Linked DNA regions of Macaca mulatta. The protein of the gene in region 1 purifies or fractionates together with the protein of each later gene. This does not show direct contact. Links are inferred from orthologs where the notes say so. Each region holds a gene or a part of one and is shown on either strand. Other genes may lie near its edges. The genes, in order: EIF4A3, SRSF1 and NCBP1.

Region 1 (2,829 bases):
TCCTCAGGAGGCTGAGCTGAGAGGATCGCCTGAGCCCAGGAGGTTGTGGCTGCAGTGAGTTGTGATGGTGCCACTGCACTCCAGCCTGGGCGGGAGAGCAAAACTCATCAACAATGAAACTCTCTCAAATTAAAAAAAAAGATTAGAAAAGTGAGTGAGATGGGCCGGGTGCGGTGGCTCACGCCTGTAATCTCAGCATTTGGGAGGCCAAGGCGGCTGCACCACGAGGTCAGGAGATTGAGACCATCTGGCTAACATGGTGAAACCCCGTCTCTACTGAAAATACAAAAAAATTAGCCGGGCGTGGTGGCGGGCTCCTGTAGTCCCAGCTACTTGGGAGGCTGAGGCAGGAGAATGACGTGAACCCGGGAGGCGGAGCTTGCAGTGAGCTGAGATCGCGCCACTGCACTCCAGCCTGGGCGACAGAGGGAGACTCCTTCTCAAAAAAAAGGAGACTCCTCAAGAAAAAAAGAAAAATTAGAAAAGTGAGTGAAATGACCCAAGACTACACAGTAAGTTACTAGAGAAGCTGGTGGCATCTTAGAAATATAGAGTTTATGGGAAAAGTTTTAAATTTTTAATGAAAAAGACTTAGAACAATGTATTATTTACATGTAAATAAGAAAAGAGCAGAATCCCCATATCCTCTTCGGAGGGAGACAGGAGGCCGTTTATGAGAAGAGAGTCCATATAAACCCCATTAAATAGAAGCTGGACCTAAATACTTCCAAACAGGAGTACAGAACAGGTGAACAGTCTTCACTCATCCCCTCGATCTGCTTCAGATCAGATCAGCAACTGAAAGTGAAGAAAGAAACAGATTAAGGAACAATACAAAAAAAAAAAAAAGAAAATTTGTAACGTAAATTTAACTAAAATCTCACAAGAGACTTCTCAAAACAAAAAACAGGCCAGGCATAGTGGCTCACGCCTGTAATCCTGGCACTTTGGGAGGCCAAGGTGGACAGATCACTTGAGGCTAGGAGTTCAAGATCAGCCTGGCCAACATGGTGAAATCCCGTCTCTACTAAAAATACAAAAATTAGCTGGTTATGGTGCACGCATCTGTAATCCCAGCTACTCAGGAGGCTGAGGCAGGAGAATTGCTTGAACCCAGGAGGCAGAGGTTGCAGTGAGCCAAAATCATGCCACTGTACTCCAGCCTGGCTGACAGAGCAAAACTTCGTCTCAAAAAAAAAACCACAACAACAAAAAAACAAACTCAAGTGCCCCAAACTAAGAATAGGGAAGTTCTCTCTACAATTCCAGTAGAGCTGGACGATTTCCTACCGTTCATAGGCATCTCATCGATCTGAGTGGAATAGTACTGCTCGATATCTCTGAGGATGCGGATGTCATCGTTCTTCACAAAGTTAATGGCGACCCCCTTCCGGCCGTATCGACCTGATCTCCCGATTCTTCAGGAATAAAACAATATCACAGTCAGTATCTACAGCAATCAAGATTTAGTAAATGTGTCACAGAAGTGAAGTCAATGAGAGCTTGCATCCTACCTGTGTATGTACAATTCTCTGTTATTGGGGAGATCATAGTTGATGATGAGGGACACCTGAGGGACATCCAACCCCCTGGCCCAGACGTCTGTAGAAATAAGCACTCGGCTGCAAAACAGAAAGTGTGTTTGAGGCGATTAAATTACTCATGCAAGTTTAAGACTGGACTTGCTTCCATTGCTAATTTTGAGGAATCCTGGCTACAAGTTCAAAAGATATGAGATTCCCCCTCACACCAGTCTGTCTGCAAACATGAAGCCTCAGGGACAGCACCAGAAATCCCTGTGCAGAGGGGCTGTTGCTGGATTTAGTTACTTCGGTCATGTGCTCCATCAGATTAAAAAAACAGACATCTTTTACTACACTACCTTTAACTTGTTTCGTCGGTTCTAAACCAATTAATTGGGAAAAATATTTTACTTTTGCCTAGCAACAAATTAAGAACAGTATCTTTGGCTGGGAGTGGCAGCTCATACCTGTAATCCCAGCACTGCCAGAGGCTGAGGTGGACGGATCACCTGAGGTCAGGAGTTCGTGACCAGCCTGGCCAACAAGGTGAAACCCCGTCTCTACTAAAAATGCAAAAAAAAAAAAAAAGCCATTCCAGCTACTCAGAAGGCTGAGGCACGGGAATCACTTGAAACCAGGAGGCAGAGGTTGCAGTGAGAAGATACCTGACCACTGTGGAATTAAACTAATTGAAACGATGAACAGAAAACCCGTACTTACTGGAAAGAAGACACACACTTGTAACCAAAGTGCCAACCTGGCTAGTTAAGGATCATTATCACCTCAACCGAAGTATTACAGGAACACAGCGAACGTCTCATTAACTGGAAGGTTTTCTGCTCACCCAGGGCCTCAGCTTTCAGAGCAGGAGCTCGTCATCTCCCCAGCTCTGGGGCCTGCCTCAGGCAGTGCATATGAAGTGCTTAGCACACAGTCTAGCAAACCCTGACCGGCAGAGCCACAGCACAGCGGACCCACCTGGCGCCCGACCGGAACTCCTTCATGATGGACTCCCGCTCTTTCTGGGGCATGTCTCCGTGCATTGAGGACACAGTGAAGTTGGCTTCTCTCATTTTTTCTGTCAGCCAGTCCACCTACAAATCCAATCAGCAGATGCTACTGCAAGTTCGTACACCAAACCAGAGATGTGCATTCGGGATTTTACCCCCATCATTTGCAGAACCAGTATCAATATTCTCAAAGTAACTGCTCTTAAAACTCAGGATCATCCTAACTGGATGCACAAACTTTTTCCCAGAAAATGTTGGGGTGCACTCACAAAACCCTCTTACTTCATTTTCTCCAC
Region 2 (4,437 bases), about 38 Mb from region 1:
TTATCTACACCAATACATTGGAACTCTATATTTTGCTTTCATTTTGTCTTAAAAAAATGAAATAGCAACGCTCTATCAGTCACACAGAGGACATGCAGATTTAGCAGTATTGATATTATACTCTATCTTGTTGGATTTAAAGACACCCTGTACCCACATGTACACCAACAGCAGGTCACACATTAACAGTTGTAACTAAGCACTGTGACAAATTAGCCAGTTCTTCCCACATTAGTCCCTATTAAAACAAAAATGGGGGGAAGGGAGCAAAATAAGTTGCTACAAAATGGGCAATATAATTTTGCCACAATTGCCAAGGTTTAAAGAGCAAAGCAATTGTAGCTAAAGATAACTGAATAAAATGTTTGCAAGTGTTTTAAGGAAAACGTATATAATCATTTTTAACCCCTGCCTTTTAGTATAAGGTCAATACTGCCAATTTCATCTGTGACAATAGCACTTGGAGTCATACCATTGCCTCCATTATTGATCTGATCCTCCTCAATCCTCCTTTTGACAATCCTAAAATGATTGAAATGTGCTCCACAATCCTTAATCCAAAGCATTCTTAATCCATCTCTTCAGATATGTCTACAGAAAGACACATGAAAAGCAAGATAAACATAAGAACTTCCCCAGGTAAGATAACCACAAACACCCCCAACATCCCAGTTCACACAAACCAGGGCAGAATAGACATTTACACAATATCACAGTCTGAAGAGTATGGAGTTAACTAAATTTAAACAATCCTGTCTATGACATCACTTAAAATACAATTTATCGAAGACACGAGGGGAATGTAGATGTTAGGAGCAAGGGGATATTACAAGAATGCAATTCAACACTTTAGCCCATTCTGAACAAAACAGTTTGAATTAAAAAATGAAAAGATTGTACTGAATAAAGGAAAACTGTATACAACATGGGTTCTACAAAAAGTGTCACCAATCATCTTATGTACGAGAGCGAGATCTGCTATGACGGGGAGAATAGCGTGGTGATCCTCTGCTTCTCCTTGGGGAGTAACTGCGACTCCTGCTGTTGCTTCTGCTACGGCTTCTGCTACGACTACGGCTTCGAGATCGAGATCTTCCATAACTTGGACTTCTGGGCCCATCAACTTTAACCCGGATGTAGGCAGTTTCTCCCTATTGGATAGACAGAACTTTCCATTGAAAGATCTAAGCTTTCATCTATCTTCAGGCATGCTGAATGCATACAATGCAACTACAACCAGAAATCTGGCAATTTACTTGGACACCCTTGCCTGAATTCTTACCTTCAAATTCCACTGTTAAGACCACTGTATCCAATTCTGGTCAAAGAAAAGAATAAGCGTATAACCTACCTCATGAGATCTAAACTTAGTGTTATCCAGTTTTCGAACTGCATAGGTCATATCTTCTTTCCGTACAAACTCCACGACACCAGTGCCATCTCGGTAAACATCAGCATAACATACATCACCTGCTTCACGCATGTGATCCTTTAAATCCTGCCAACTTCCACTTGGAGGCAGTCCTGAAAAAGTGATTTTTTTTCTTAGTATCAATTATCTTAAATTTCACGTTAAGCTGGTAAGGTACATTAGAACAAAGAGTACTTTAAAATACTTAATAGGTGTACTTAAGTGATACCAGGTAAAGAGCTGGTAAGATTCTGGGATCCAGAGTCCAAAATTATTTGTAACGGATCTTCGTATCTAGTACCGCAACCTAATTTGGTAAATCACCACAGCAGCAATCCTCGTTTATTAAATTCACCCAAAAACTAAAGCAATTTAAGACCTAGCATGAAAAATTTGCAATTGTTAAACCGATCATGCAAGACAAAAATTTTAGGTAGCTTCCGTCCCTTCACATCAATCCACACAACCAAGTACACTCACCAGAGACAACCACTCTGTTTTCAGACCGCCTGGATGGGGGGCCATAGCGACCTCGGGGAGCTCCGCCACCTCCACCCCCGCCGCCGCCTCGGCCTGTTCCACGGCCGCTTCGAGGAAACTCCACCCGCAGACGGTACCCATCGTAATCATAGCCGTCGCGACCATACACCGCGTCTTCCGCGTCTCTGCGGGATCGCAGAAAGTAAAAGGCATGAGAAAGACCAGGAGGAGAAGCTCGCTCAGTCGGGAACCCCCCGCACATGCGCACCCAACGTGGAAGAGCCCACATGCGCCGCATAATAGGAATGGCCCCTCCCCCACCCAGAAACACGCCAGGCTCCCAACCACTACACCAGCCCTCAGCGCCTCAGTTTCCCGCTCCAGCCTGCGAATGGGCTCCGGGGACGTCCAAGGCGAGGCGCCAGAGAAGCCACACCAACTCAGCTCCTTACTCGACTCCTGCATGGGCGATACAGTCTCGCCCCAACCTCTCTAAGAGCCCCCGCTTCCCCGTTCTCTATGTTAAGGCCTTGGAGCCTTCCCCGACTACTCGGACCTATTTCCTCAAGGCTGCAAGCCCCATGCCGCCTCACCGCGGGTCCTCGAACTCAACGAAGGCGAAGGGCGGTCCCCCGCGGCGATTCTTGAGGTCGATGTCGCGGATAGCGCCGTATTTGTAGAACACGTCCTCAATGTCCTTGGTTCGGATGTCTGGAGGTAAGTTACCCACGTAGATGCGGCAATCGTTGTTCCCTGCGGGGCCACGAATCACACCACCTCCCGACATGGCGGTGACGAAAAGCGCGGACTCGAGAACAGGCCTTCCCACCAAGCCTAGCGCACCGCAGAGCGAGCCCGCAGCGGCACCACGTCTCCCGCGGCCCCTCCAAAATGGCGCCTTTATCAGCTCGGCGCACGGATATGGGGGGGAGACAGAGGAAGAGAAGCGGAAGGAAACAGCGATTCGATCCCAACACGCACGCGCGGGAGCGCAACGGGTGCTGCGAGGGATACGCGCAACGCACGCGCACGCACGCGCGACGTCACCCTCCGCACGAAGGGGGAAAAAAAGTCCCCCGCGTTCCCCGCTTGGGGTGGTTTGCGAATAGAGTGAGCAGCCGTTTGGTAAAAGTTAAATAAAGAACTCTCGTTAAAGGAGCTAGTCATCCAGGTCGAGTCTTGAAGGATAGTCAATTTCCCCAGGAATGAGGAGCTTTGAAAGCAACTCGGCGCCTTCAAAGGACTTGGTGAAACCTAGCCTAAAGCCTTGTCCCACCATGCTCTGCGGCGATAACGGCCTTTGGCGGGAAAGAGACTCGGAGGCGGGGCTAAAGGGGGAGGGCTCGGGCCGTTGCTCCGGAAACCCGGGTATCTTCGTAGAGTGCGTCTAGTCCAGAGCTGAGTTGCCGGTGACTGAATAGAGAGCTGGGGCGTTGGTTTGTCTTCCCGCCCCTGCTGCGAACAAGCTGTGGCTGCTTAGACAGATGTGTCTAATTTAGCGAAACCGGTTTAGATTCCTTAATCCTTTTCATTAAGAACCATTCCACCTTCTCGTCAGAACTTTGCATAGCTCAGTTCAGCACTCTTTGTGCTAGTCGCAGTGGGCCCGTACCCCGACCTTTCAACGTGGTACCCGCCAACCAGAAGGGGTAACAGTACTGCTTCTGGTACCCACACCTCTTTATCTCTTGTTAATCGCCTATCCGTGGGACTAGCGCAGATTGCCTGCAGAATGAATTGTTTCTGTTGTTTCCTTTTAAAGAACGAGAAGGAAGAAAAGGTGCGTGTGTGCAGTCCTTTTTTCAAAAGTTTCCTCTAAAAGTTACTGAAATTGAAAATACCGGTCCTCCCAGGTAATAAAATGGACCGAAATGGATGAGAGCCGTGTCCACTAGAGACCGCGGTTGCTATTCAGGACTGTGATCTTATTTGCCTGCGACATTGGGAGATAACATTTTACATTTTTTTTCGACGTCTGCAATCTGGATTTTTATGTGAAATCCTGGGATTTTTAAACGTCGCTAATGAATTCAAATTAAAATTAGGCTGGGCGCGGTGGCTCACGCCAGCACTTTGGGAGGTAGAGGCGGCAGATCACTTGAGGTCAGGAGTTCGAGACCAGCCTGGCCAACATGGTGAAATCCCGTCTCTACTGAAAAAAAAAAAATTAGCCGGGCTTGGTGGCGGGCGCCTGTAATCCAGCCTACTCGGGAGGCTGAGGCAGGAGAATCGCTAGAACCCTGGAGGTGGAGGTTGCAGTGAGCCGAGATCGCGCCATTGCGCTGCAGCCTGGGCTACAGAGTAAGACTCCTCCTAAAAAAAAAAAAAAAAAAAAAAAAAAAAAAAGGAGGGGGAAACAACAACAAAATCAAATCCTGCAGTCATAAATTTGCGATAACAGATCTACACCGTGAATTTCAGGGATAATGTTCTTCATGTTATTTACAGCAGTCCCTCTCCGCAAGGATGTGAGGCAATTTACAGAGATACCATAAAACATTATTAAAAGTAGATGAGGCTGGGCGTGGTGGCTCACTCCTGTAATC
Region 3 (3,322 bases), on another chromosome or scaffold:
CCCCCACACAGTCAAAAATCTGCATGGAACTTTTAACTGCATGGAAAATTTAACTAGTAGCCTGTTGACCAGAAGCCTTAGTGATAACGTAGTCGATTAACACATATTTGTGTTGTGTTAATATTCTGTATTCTTACAATAAATCATAAGAGAGGAAACATCATTCATGAAGTGAGAGTGGATCATCATAAAGGTCTTCATCTTCATTATCTTCACATTGAGTAGGCTGAGGAAGAGGAGGCGTTGGTCTTGTTGTCTCAGGTGGAAGAAAACCCATGTGTAAATGGACCTGCACAGTTCGGACCTGTATTGTTCAAGAGCCAACTGTACTATTCTGTGCTGGGTTAGGAGACCTAGTTTATAGACACAAAAGTAGCTAAGAAGTTACTTTAAAAAAAAAAAAAAGAAAAGAAAAGAAACACTTATGCAACAAACATTTTGAAGCACCTACAAAGTGATCTTAGTATGTATTTGCTAGTAAGAAAGCTGACATATAATTATCTCATTCTTAGAGCCTATCAGTTGATACCTATTATCAACTAATGAGTTTCTTAAAGGTTCCAAGAGAATAATTGCCTGTGTGTGTGCTAAAGTGTAAATAGTGTAAAGCATGTACAATCAGTCTCAGGTCACCATTTTGAGAAAATTTCTACACATAGTGTTTACATTTAGGAGAGGAAAAATGTATTTCCATTTTTAATGTTAGTGTCCATCATAGTTTGCCATTTCAATTCAGTGAGTATATACCTCTAGTAAGGGATGGAAATAAGAAAAATGACTACACAGTACTGCCCTCAGGGGACTCACCTGAATCTAATGGGTGTGAAGATGGATATTTGCACAATTTACAATAAAAGACCAATTCATAAGTATTGCTGGAGAAATATGACTAATTCAGCCCAGAGGACAGAAGGCTGTATCAGCTGTTAAGAATGAATAGATCATAAAGGTTGAAAGGTTTTATTTTCTATAACCATAGCTTGACATACAATAACCAAATGCCATATTTCTTTAAGATTGTTCGTTTGGGAAATCTTGCACTCTACAATTCGTAAGATGAACAAACATGTCCTGAAGATCCAGAAAGAGCTGGAAGAAGCTAAAGAGAAACTTGCTAGGCAACACAAACGGGTAAGTTTTGTGTAAACTTGTAAATAGTTAAAGAAAATATACCAGAAACTCTGGAGAGGATTCAGAGTTCATTATTGTGATGGTATTTCATTTTTTTTCTGAGCCCAAATTAATGCAGAGCTGTTTGCAGAAGAGGAGGAGGGAGCAGGTAGTGTGTTGTGTGCTGTTACACTGCATGATGAACCAGTTCAGGAAGCCACAAACTTCACTTTCCATAGTTTACCATCTCTGGGTCAGCCTCATGTTTGCACAAGGGAAGTAGCAGAAGGGAAGAGGACACTTGTATTTCTATAGGAGTCTCTGGGGGAAGAGGGAGAAGACTATAGATACTTACACTTTCCCCATACTGTGAGGAGGAATGGGGCAGTCATTCCCAAGTTAACATAATACTTCTCGTAGTATTAATTTAGTATTTTAGCCATTTTGGAGGGAAGCCGTGAGTGACTTAACATGATACTCTTCCTTATGAAAGTATTTTCCAGTGTTATGTGTATTTATCATAGTAGAAGGTGAAAAAAAAAAGTTGAGTTTAGTGCCCTACAGGAACCTTTAGCAAGTTTGAGTACAAGTCTCCGTGTAGACATATATGTATACATATATGGATATAAACACAGACCTAAAATACTGTAAGGTAAATGGTGTCATCTCATTTTGTAGATGTTATAAAGTGAGACACAGAGAAGTTAAGTAGTAGAAGTTAAGTAAGACACAGAGAAGCTAGTAGGTTGCATAGCTGGTAAATGACCAGAGCTAGGTTCTGACACAAGTTTATCAGACTCCAGAGACTTTCTCTCATGCCACACTGTTTCTAGAAATGTGCTGTCCGACACAGTAGCTACTAGCTGCATGTGACTATTTTAGTTTAGTTAAAATTAAATACAATTTAAAATTCAGTTCTTTGGTCACACAACCATATTTCAGGTGCTCAGTAGTAACGTGTCGTTGCCGTCCTAACAGGCCGCACATATTTATATCATTGGCCCCATTGAAGAAAGGTCTATTAGGTAGTAGTGCTCTAGAACCTTACCTTTGAGTGGTGTTAGGAAAGGAGAGTCATGTACCCACGTGTCTAGAACATAAAGCAGACCTCATAAATAGGCTGTGTTTATAGAGAGAAAAGTAAGATTCTGTGAAATCGGAGAGCAGGGTTTTGATAATTTTGCTTAAAGCGGAGAGGAGGAGATCAGTAGCTGGGGCCTTAGCAGTTAAGTATTACCTCAAAGAATTGCCAGGCTTTCTAGATTCAGTGATGCCACTTCTTGCTGAAAGTACCTTGGTATGTAACACCTAGAGCCACGTTCTGGCTCTGCCACTTTCTGGCTGGGTGATGCTGGGAAAGTCATCTAACCTCTCAGCCTGTTCCTTTCTCTGTAAAATGGAAATAAACCATGCCTTGTTTTTCTTTTCCTTTAAAAAAAAAAAATTCTATAAACTCTTCAGAGTGAGCTGGAGGGGGGGAATTATTAAAGCTTTACGGGAGTGTATTGAGCCCATCATTGCCAGCAGAAAGTCTTAAATGGCCCACTTTGAATTATTTTATGTCGGCTGTAGCCATTTCTAAATTATAACAAGAATGAGCAGGCTTGGCCCGTAGGACTTGCTCAGTTTTTCTATATGGCCCATTAGGAGATTAATGATTAGCAGGCCGTCTCCCTGTTGTTACTGCTCAAATGGTCAAATAGTGATAAATTGTAGCCAAGTCCCCCATGTTGTTACCAAGACAAGTGCCACTAAATTTCCCTGGTCTAGATAAGAACCCATGGTATTTCTGAGTGAGAAGACAGTGTCTCTGAACCACAACAGGACTTTGAGGTATATGTGTGTGGGTGGCAGAGTGGGGGCTACTTTCACTGTAGAATATAAGTCTTAACATTTGGCCAGACACAATAAAATGCTTCCCCTGGAGGAGATTTAACACACTAGAATCAAAATGGTATTTTCCTTTTGTTCCTTTGCCTTCTGTAGCGAAGTGATGATGATGACAGAAGCAGTGACAGGAAAGATGGGGTTCTTGAGGAACAAATAGAAAGACTTCAAGAAAAAGTGGAATCTGCTCAGAGTGAACAAAAGAATCTTTTCCTCGTCATATTTCAGGTATCTTGGCTTGGGACATTTATACATAAAAGGAAACAATACGTTTCTTTAGTTTTAGTTTTTAAAAATGTTATTTTTCATTGTAAAAGGAAATCAC

Evidence for each region.
Region 2: the proteins of EIF4A3 (region 1) and SRSF1 fractionate together in Homo sapiens (co-fractionation; 4 studies listed by BioGRID and IntAct, with this or other methods). This does not show direct contact. The link is inferred for Macaca mulatta from reciprocal best matches to the Homo sapiens genes EIF4A3 and SRSF1.
Region 3: the proteins of EIF4A3 (region 1) and NCBP1 purify together in Homo sapiens (co-immunoprecipitation; 3 studies listed by BioGRID and IntAct, with this or other methods). This does not show direct contact. The link is inferred for Macaca mulatta from reciprocal best matches to the Homo sapiens genes EIF4A3 and NCBP1.

The regions. Positions count from the first base shown.
Region 1 is NC_133421.1:89,821,428-89,824,256, forward strand, and holds the end of EIF4A3 (eukaryotic initiation factor 4A-III), read right to left. Parts: intron 2,618-2,829; coding exon 2,502-2,617; intron 1,623-2,501; coding exon 1,515-1,622; intron 1,419-1,514; coding exon 1,291-1,418; intron 799-1,290; coding exon 782-798; 3' UTR 564-781; downstream 1-563. UniProt on the Homo sapiens protein: ATP-dependent RNA helicase. Involved in pre-mRNA splicing as component of the spliceosome. Core component of the splicing-dependent multiprotein exon junction complex (EJC) deposited at splice junctions on mRNAs.
Region 2 is NC_133421.1:51,982,005-51,986,441, reverse strand, and holds the start of SRSF1 (serine/arginine-rich splicing factor 1), read right to left. Parts: upstream 2,882-4,437; 5' UTR 2,679-2,881; coding exon 2,485-2,678; intron 2,077-2,484; coding exon 1,892-2,076; intron 1,525-1,891; coding exon 1,352-1,524; intron 1,169-1,351; exon of another isoform or gene 1,152-1,168; coding exon 957-1,151; 3' UTR 592-956; coding exon of another isoform or gene 553-591; 3' UTR 1-552. UniProt on the Homo sapiens protein: Plays a role in preventing exon skipping, ensuring the accuracy of splicing and regulating alternative splicing.
Region 3 is NC_133420.1:60,734,607-60,737,928, reverse strand, and holds part of NCBP1 (nuclear cap-binding protein subunit 1), read left to right. Parts: intron 1-1,016; coding exon 1,017-1,131; intron 1,132-3,096; coding exon 3,097-3,225; intron 3,226-3,322. UniProt on the Homo sapiens protein: Component of the cap-binding complex (CBC), which binds cotranscriptionally to the 5'-cap of pre-mRNAs and is involved in various processes such as pre-mRNA splicing, translation regulation, nonsense-mediated mRNA decay, RNA-mediated gene silencing (RNAi) by microRNAs (miRNAs) and mRNA export.